Saccharomyces cerevisiae S288C: one gene and its partner. The protein of the gene in region 2 interacts with the protein of the main gene of each other region in a pairwise test. Each region holds a gene or a part of one and is shown on either strand. Other genes may lie near its edges.

Region 1 (5,205 bases), on a different chromosome or scaffold from region 2:
TTGAAGAAGAGGATGCATTCGCGAGTTGCTTTCCGTTTTCAGTCTTAAGGGCATTTTGCTGTTGTTGTTGTTGTTGCTGTAACAGTTGCTGCTGTTGCTGCTTGGTGAGCCTAGAAGATTTGTCTTCAAGTTGGTTATTCCTTTTATTGTTCTTTGCCTTCGCTGCCGCTGCTGCAGCAGCTGCTCTCTTAAGTTCAGCTTTCCTTAGTTCAGCTTCCCTTTGTTCGACCGTAACAATCGTGGGGCGTTTTCTCTTGTGGTTAATCAAGTCATCGTCTTCTCCACTAATGTTCAAAGATCTTTTCAAATTCTTAATTTTTACCCTTTGATCGAATATTTTTAATTCATCATTAATCCAATTTAGGGAAACGTTCTCACGTTTAGCAACAAGCAGGGCCAAGTCCTTCGCGTTTTTCAATTCTTGATGCAACGCCCTTAAACGCTGACTGTTTAAGATATCTATACGTCTTGTTTTCCGCGGATGTCTCACTTCTCTTCTTCTGAAACAGACGTAGGGATCAATCTCTTCTTTTTCACCCGGCCTTTCAAATTTCAGCTGCGGAAAAATTTCGTACCCGTTAACTTCAATTTTTCTTTCTCTCCAATAATCATAAATTTTAGAGCCGAACTTCTCTATCAGCTGAATTAAAGGTCTCGTATTCATTTGAGATACGGGGTCGAATTGTGTGATAAAATGTGTTTTATGAGAATTTATTTCATGATTCAGCTGGTTTCTTAGATTGAAATCAGCCATATCTGATTTTATTAATGTGGGCTTCAATTCTTCAAAAGAAAGTATACTTTCCGGATCCATACTCAAGAATGGTTGACGCTCGTGAATAGCATGTTCAAAACTGGAACAAAGTATTTCAAATTCGTCTTCAGTTAAAATGTCTGATGAACCTTTGTTGACTTGTTCATTTAAAAAGGTCTCATCTCTTTCATCCATATTGTAGTTGGTACCACAGCAATCCTCCACAGTGGCAGAAAATTTGATGTAGCTGGTGGTCTCCTGGAAACTGCCCGTATAAAACTTATCATATTCATTCCAAGTCATAGAAGCATCCGGGGTCGGAATATAGTCTTTGTGCTTTGTATGACCAGAACCCATTTGTAATATTCGATGCAAATGGACCTCCTTTTCTTCATTTTTTTCTACACCAGTTTCGATCTCAACCACCTCTCTCTGTTGCAATTCATCTTTATCCAGGTGTTTCAGATCGTTAGGCAGATATATCTTAAGATGTTGCTTCACAGATATTTTTCGATGTCTAAATCGACTATTACTGCTACCAGCACTGGCTCCAGCACCTGAATCGCCTTTTGAGAATGAATCTAGACCGTCATCGTGCGCACTCCTAGATCCAGACCGCCTAGTGCTTCTACCAGATTTATGCGAACCGTCATTGATCTCTATAGCGTTTGAAGGTGTCGGCATCGTTATTATCGTTATTTGCTAATGTTATTACAATGTTTTTATAAGCACGTGACTATAATGTTACCCTATCGTGTGCAATTTTTATTTATGTTGACCTGAAGTCCGCAGTTGCCGTACAATGTGAGAATATGGACAAAAGGAAGGCGAGGGTGGCAAAAAGAGGAGTCAAAAATAGATAGCGTTTATTTTATTATAGCAGCTCAGAGGAACGCGATGTGGTGTAATAATATTGCGAGTGTCTAATGACCACCAGAATACGAGCACAGTTTTGGCTGATTTTTGCAAACTTTTTTGCTTTTGTGTAGTAACCTCTCACAGGTATTGCTTGTATGCTATACCATGTGATATGTAATAGTACAATTTTGTGGTCGGATCGTGCTTTTGCCACCCGCGGCCGACGGAGAAAATTTTTTTCCTCTATCCCTTTGTTTCTCGCTTACTCCTGCGGTATGGGGTGCTAACTATGGTGAGCGAGTATGGGAAGAAGTAGCGATATACGGGTAACCCTAATGTTTGGGTGTTTTGAAATTTATCCTTGGAGGATAGGCGATGAGCTGCTCTTAAAGGTTTTAACAGAGAGTGTTGTATGAATATTCTGTAGAATTTTATAGTAAACAGGTATCCTCAGACTGTAATAGCCATGGATTTGTTAGCGGCCAGCGTAGAAAGTACGTTGAAAAATCTGCAAGATAAGAGAAACTTTCTTTCGGAACAAAGAGAGCACTATATAGATATCAGAAGCCGACTGGTTAGATTTATCAATGACAATGATGATGGCGAAGAAGAAGGCGAAGGCCAAGGGATGGTGTTTGGTGATATCATAATTTCTACGAGTAAGATATATCTAAGTCTAGGCTATGAGTATTACGTTGAAAAGACCAAAGAGGAGGCCATCACGTTTGTTGATGATAAATTAAAACTAATGGAGGACGCCATTGAGCAATTTAACCTGAAGATCGAAGAGGCTAAAAAGACCTTAGACAACTTGAATCACATGGAGGACGGAAATGGAATTGAAGAAGACGAAGCGAACAACGACGAAGATTTTCTGCCCTCTATGGAGATTAGAGAAGAACTAGATGACGAGGGAAATGTCATAAGTAGTTCCGTTACCCCTACAACAAAGCAACCATCACAATCGAATTCCAAAAAAGAACAGACACCTGCAGTCGGTCCAAAGGAGAAAGGATTAGCAAAGGAGAAGAAATCAAAGTCATTCGAAGAAAACTTGAAAGGAAAGTTATTGAAAAGGAACGATGAAGTAAAGAAAAAAGTGCAGCCATCTAAAGTAGATACAGAAAACGTGTATACATTTGCCGACTTGGTCCAACAGATGGACCAACAAGATGAATTGGAGGACGGCTATATTGAAACTGATGAAATAAATTATGATTATGATGCGTTCGAAAACTCCAATTTCAAAGTCAATGATAACTATGAAGAGGATGACGAGGACGAAGATGAAGAAGAGTATCTAAATCATTCTATTATACCTGGCTTTGAAGCGCAGTCCTCATTTTTACAACAAATTCAACGCCTACGCGCACAAAAGCAATCCCAAGATCATGAGAGGGAAGAAGGTGACGTTAATAAATCATTAAAACCTATTTTGAAAAAGTCTTCTTTTGCTGAGAATTCAGACAAAAAGCAGAAAAAGAAACAAGTCGGGTTTGCATCTTCTCTAGAAATTCACGAAGTCGAAAACTTGAAAGAAGAGAACAAGAGGCAGATGCAATCCTTTGCGGTGCCCATGTATGAAACCCAGGAAAGCACAGGTATCGCTAATAAAATGACATCGGATGAGTTTGATGGTGATTTATTTGCTAAGATGTTGGGTGTCCAAGAGGCCGATGAAGTGCATGAAAAATATAAAGAGGAACTGATAAATCAAGAGAGACTTGAAGGGGAAGCAAGCAGGTCGAATAGAAGAACTAGGGTGTCCAGATTCCGGAAGGATAGAGCTTCTAAAAAAGAAAATACGTTATCAACTTTCAAACAGGAAACGACAAGGTCAGTGGAGAACGAGGTAGTGGAAAAAGAGCCTGTTGTGGGGGATATTATAGAAAAAGAACCTGTTGTGGGGGATGTTATAGAAAAAGAACCTGTTGTGGGGGATGTTATAGAAAAAGAGCCTGCTGTCACCGATATAGTGGAAAGGGAGCCTGCTGTCAACGATATAGTGGAAAGGAAGCCTGTTGTGGGGGATATTATAGAAAAAGAACCTACTATCAACGATATAGTGGAAAAAGAACCGGAAATTAACAGCAAGAGCGAGTTTGAGACTCCTTTTAAAAAGAAAAAGCTAAAATCACTGCAAAAACCAAGATCATCGAAATCAATGAAAAAAAAATTTGATCCCAAAATTCTCGAAAATATAAGTGATGACGATTATGATGATGATGACGATGGTAATAAGAAACTTTTGTCCAACAAAAGTAAAAATAACACTGATGAGCAAGATAAATTTCCTTCAAAAATCCAAGAGGTGTCTAGGTCGATGGCTAAGACGGGCGCCACAGTAGGGAGTGAGCCGGTTAGAATTACAAATGTCGATTATCACGCCCTAGGTGGAAACTTGGATGATATGGTCAAGGCATATTCATTGGGGTTATATGACGACGATTTAGAGGAAGATCCAGGAACCATAGTGGAAAAGCTCGAGGATTTCAAAGAATACAATAAGCAGGTGGAGTTGCTGCGTGACGAAATTCGAGACTTTCAACTAGAAAACAAGCCAGTGACGATGGAGGAGGAGGAAAATGATGGCAATGTTATGAATGATATCATTGAGCATGAATTTCCTGAAAGTTACACAAATGACGAGGACGAAGTAGCACTACATCCGGGCCGGCTACAGGAAGAGGTTGCTATAGAGTACAGACGGTTGAAAGAAGCTACCGCGTCGAAATGGCAATCATCATCACCCGCCGCACACACTGAAGGCGAATTGGAGCCTATTGATAAGTTCGGGAACCCGGTCAAGACAAGTCGTTTCCGCTCTCAACGGCTCCATATGGACAGTAAACCATAACCCATATGGAGACAGAAAGTAAATCAGAATCTATATTAACATATACGTATATATTTGTTTTGTGTACAATAACTACTACAAAATTGGGGACAGACGATATAAAACTAGAGGAACTGCTGAGCTTATTCGTACAAGTCTTCGTCCAATCTAGCAGCAGGATTGGTTTCGATAAAGTCCAAAGAGACTTTATGACCTAACAGTTCTCTGATGTTTTGAACCTTATATTTGATCATGGTAGGTCTTTCCAAGGATAACCCCCAACCAAGGACTCTTAGATCCTTTGGTAGACCCATGGACTCGAGCATTTCTGGTCTGAACATACCAGAGTTACCGATTTCGACCCATTTTTGCAAACCTTCGTGCCAAGAAAAGATTTCCATTGATGGCTCGGTGTAAGGATTGTAGGTAGGCTTGAATCTCAAACCGGTGACACCCATTCTTTCGAAAAACTCTTCCATGAACTTGATCAGGTCACCCAGAGTAATGTTGTAGTCGGCAAGAACACCTTCCACCTGGTGGAATTCGGCCAAATGGGTGGCGTCAACTGCTTCGTTACGGAAAACACGGTCGATAGAAAACAATCTGGTGGGCTTTGGATCTTTGGCCAAATCGTGCAGCATTCTGGCAGAGATGGCTGTGGAGTGAGTTCTCAAGACCAATTTTTGACATTCTTCTGGCTTCCAGTTGTAACGATAACCGATGGACCCGAATCTCCCCTGTTCGTGAACGGCTTTGA
Region 2 (4,323 bases):
CTGCAACTTCTATATACCTCCTTTGTTTGTGTTTCTAAAGCACTGTGACAAATCCTGCTTGAAAGCACATGATATCACCAGACGTGTTGCACTATCTTCAGTTCTATCCTAAATTGTTTTCCAGTCTTAAGATAAAATTCATTCCAGTTCGGGTAACATACACCGTTTATGACTGACGCTTCTCTTTACGGAAAATTGTTTTTTTCGCTATTGTTGCAAAAGTACAATGGAAAATGCCCCACTGAAACATGAAATAAGAAGAGAAGAATCAAGTTTATGCAAAATATTGTTAGAGTAACCGCAGCAGATTGTGATACTCAATTAGAGAGATTATTACAATATATATATATATAATGATTACATGGACGTTAATCGTTACATAGAATTAAACCACGCGTAAGTATGGGGTAATCATGAAGTAGACTTCAGGGTTTTTTTCTTTTTTCTTTTGAAAATTCGTTTTGTTTGACTCTTATGTATATTGGGAAGAAAATATGGAAGAAGAGTTATTGAGATTATTTCAAAACCTTACCGTCAACAATTTCCTTATCTTCGCCATTGACAACAACAGGCTTATCCCAAGCCCACATGTTGTTGACAAATTCTTTGTCTTCTTCCTTGGTTGGGTCCAACTTGGTGTATTCGTAAGATTCCCAGTCTGGAGCGACATCAAAGGCTGGAGCGAAATCTTGGCCTCTGACCATAACGGCACCAACAATACCATTATTGTTGTTTTCACCATAGACAACTAAACAACCGAACATGTACTTAGTAGAAGCGGACAATCTGTTGAAAAAACCACCGACCAAGTTGTTGGACATGAAAGTCAAGGTAAGTTCGTCGTTGTATTTGTAACCAACCTTCCAGATGGAGTATTCTTCAGGGTTGTAGTGTTCCCAGAACCATGGCAAAGCAACTGGTCTGGTGTCGTCGTTGGAGTACTTTCTCTTCCAGTCATCCAAGACAAATGTGGACTTTCCTAAAGCTTCCAATGGGTGCTTTGGCTTTTTAGCTGGAGCAGCATCATCTGCTGGCTTAGCTTCGTCCTTCTTCTTTTCAGCCTTTGACTTTTCGGCCTTTGGCTTTTCAGCCTTTTGCTTCTTTGGTGGAGTGTAGGTTAGAGCCTTTTCAGCCAATTTGACTTCAGCAAATGGAGTCTTCACGATTGGAGAAGCAGCAACAGTGTTGAACCATCTCATCAAATGAGGATGCTTAGCTCTCCATTCAGGGCCCAAAATAGTGGCCAAACCAAAAGCCCAAGAACCAGCGGCATGAAGGTCACCTAGAGAAATGTTTTCGGTAGCAACAAAGGTGTAGTCTCTCAATCTAGCATCGAAGACAGCAGCTAGGTTGTCGATTTTAACAAAACAAGCATCAACGTCTTTCTTGTTGTATGGAATCAAACCTTTGAAAGAAAGGAATGGACGAGCAATGTTGCTCATGACATCGGAATTAGCTAGAGATGCCCATCTAAGGATTTGAGACTTTTCGATAACGTCGGAACCTAATAAGCGAGCTCTTTCTTTTTCATCGGCAACTTGATTAGCCACTAAATATACATCATCTCGATGGTTATACAACCATTAATTGAAGAAATGTTAGTAAAACAATCCTTTATATTTTTTCCTGGATTAGGACACGCTTTGTACTTCCTTTTTGTTATTTTGACTTTCATTTTTCTTTAAGAAACATATCAGAAATACAAATATCAACATATGAGAGGTTACCTATTATTACCCATTCAGACAGGGATAACTGTTTGATAAAATTTTTTTTCATCATTATGTTTCGAAGAAAAATGACGTGCCAAATAAACGAACGGGAAACGCGCAAAACAATGTATGTGGAAGTGTTAAAATAAAATATGGAACATACAATAAAATTGGATAGCCAAAGCTTCAGTTAGCTTTAAGCCCTTTGGACCCAAAAATGCAGGGGCTTGCTTCAATGGGAACAAAGAAGCAAACTCGCTAGATTGTTCTAGATCAACGATCTTGACATCTAGTTTAAAGTAAGAAATCAAAGCTTCAGAAGCGTAGTTTCTTGGAGATCTATTAATGTATAAAGTACCTTGGGACATCTTGAATCTATCGAGGGCCAAAATCAAAGAATTGAGTTGGTATTAAGGATGGACACCAGTTTTGAACAAAATTAACGACGGAATGGATGAATTAAATATGAAAAAGAAAGTATTGCAAACTGTTGATGAAAAAAATTTTTCTTTCAATTTTGTCAGCAGCAGAGCGCATTACCCTGCCGGCCACATGCCGAATTAAATTAAATGAGGGCTGCTATTGCCAAATGTGATGGCTTGCCTACAGAGGTTAATTTCCCTTGTTTTGGGCTTCCTCTCTCAACACGATTGACACAAGCAATAGAGGCAAAGGTGTGTAATGAGTTCGTGTACCAATTAAAGTAAAGTAGAGTGGTTTAATTGGGATTACACGATTAAAAAGTTTCACCCAGACACCAAATTGAAAATTTTTTAAAATGAATTCTTTTTATTCTCATCTCCGGTAAAGAAAAGAGGAAAGTACAATAAAAGAGATGAGATGACCAAGAGATGAATAACAAGTGAGGACTGAGACGTTGTTGCAAGTGATAAAGAAAGTCCGGGAATTGAAAGATATAGGAGACTGAGATGAGTAATTCACTTGAGGAGCGCCTTCGTGCTAATTCAAGCGCCTTCGATGGTTTATTGGCTTTAATTCCTGCAAAATACTATTATGATGAAAAAAGTCAAGAGCAATGGAAGGCCAAGAAGAAAACCAAAGAACAGAGTAAAAATGATAAACTGAAAAAATTAGACCCGGAGCAACGTGATGATGAAACATCTAGTACATTAGAAGTAATGAAGAAGAAGGAGAAAGACGCAAAGCCGGTGGTCCTACCTGGTGAAAAATTCAAGCACATGAAAATGCAAAAGCAAAAGGAAGCAACATCAAAAGTGGAAGGAGACTCCGACCTGAACGTAGAAGTAAACGATCCTATGATAATAGCACCAGACGAAGATGAAGAAGAGGAAGAGGATATTAAGGTGATCTTTGATGATGAGGGAAATGAAATACCATTAGAATCTAAAAAAGATACTACAGAGCCCGATAGATCTGTCGAAAAGAAGTCTATTACAGAGGAAGAGAAACTACAAAGAAAGAAAAACTTGGAAGCACTACGTTCCAAGTTACAAGCGAAAATTTCAGATATGAAGAGTAAAAGGAAAGCACCCGGTTCTAGAGAGGCTATTCTTGCTCAAAGGAAACGCAAGGAAGAGTTGAAAAAAAGAAAGCGTCTAGAAAGTGAACAGGAACAGGATCAGGATGAAATTGCGTCTGATTCCGATATGGAAGACATCGATAGTGATTTAGAAAACAATTCGAAAAAAAGATTCAAAAAAGGCAAGAAGGACTCAGAAATTAACGCAGATGGTGTAATGTTTCAAAATATCATATTCGATGATGGTGCAAGGGCCACTTCAGATTTACAAAGGTTAAGAAAAGCTGGTAGAACGAAGGGTCCGGCTAAGAATGATGTAAAATCACACTTAAAGTTATTAGAAGCCAAGAAGAATAAGATGGAGGCGAAAGACGAACTAGAACAAATCAAGCAGAAGGAAAAGGAAAAATGGCAAAAGGCTATGTTACAAGCAGAAGGAATTAAGATTAGGGATGACGAAAAACTACTTCGCAAAGCTATAAAGAGAAAGGAAGCACAAAAGAGAAAGTCTGCGATTGAATGGAGCGAACGTAAGAGGGTTGTGGAAGACACGATATCTGAAAGACAAAAGAGAAGAGAAGAGAATCTGAGGATTAGGAAAGACAACAAGGGTAAAAAGAGAAATAAGCAAGAAAAGATGAAAAGAAAGTATGTCGGTAGTGCCGTACCAAAGAAAAGAGCCGGATTTGAGGGTAGATTAAAAACAGGTAAAAAGAAGGGAGGACCTAAATAATAATCACGATAATAATAACAACAATAATAGATATATATATATGTATGAACATATATATACAGATACATATATATATATATATATCTATATATATACCATCGCATTTTTTCCTTAACGAGAAGAGCACAGCAGAGCTTAAGATGGCATGCATTTATAGAACAACACTCAACACATAGCGGGGGGAGGGTTCTGGAAATACAAATGGTAGTGCAATTTACAGCCTGGATTAAAGGGGGATCTGCAATTGGGACAAATAAGGTTTGAATTGTAGTCGTAATACTCTGCAAACGTCATTTCATGACGGCAAACTCCGCAAATAATCAAGTGTTTATTTGCATCGTCAAGGAGATCATATTTTTCTAGCGGGTGAGAACTTA

The links.
Region 1: the proteins of TEF4 (region 2) and BUD27 interact in binary tests that used the Saccharomyces cerevisiae proteins (3 or more experiments, as listed by UniProt).

What each region holds. Positions count from the first base shown.
Region 1 is NC_001138.5:88,908-94,112, forward strand, and holds BUD27 (prefoldin-like protein), read left to right. Parts: upstream 1-2,078; coding exon 2,079-4,469; downstream 4,470-5,205. Other genes in the region: EPL1 (Epl1p), read right to left, coding at 1-1,438; FRS2 (phenylalanine--tRNA ligase subunit alpha), read right to left, coding at 4,592-5,205. UniProt on the Saccharomyces cerevisiae protein: Involved in gene expression controlled by TOR kinase and nutrient signaling. May also be involved in positioning the proximal bud pole signal.
Region 2 is NC_001143.9:280,648-284,970, reverse strand, and holds TEF4 (translation elongation factor EF1B gamma), read right to left. Parts: upstream 2,081-4,323; coding exon 1,876-2,080; intron 1,787-1,875; exon of another isoform or gene 1,692-1,786; intron 1,550-1,691; coding exon 516-1,549; downstream 1-515. Other genes in the region: ribosome biosynthesis protein RRP14, read left to right, coding at 2,642-3,946; HOT13 (Hot13p), read right to left, coding at 4,112-4,323. UniProt on the Saccharomyces cerevisiae protein: Subunit of the eukaryotic elongation factor 1 complex (eEF1). Probably plays a role in anchoring the complex to other cellular components.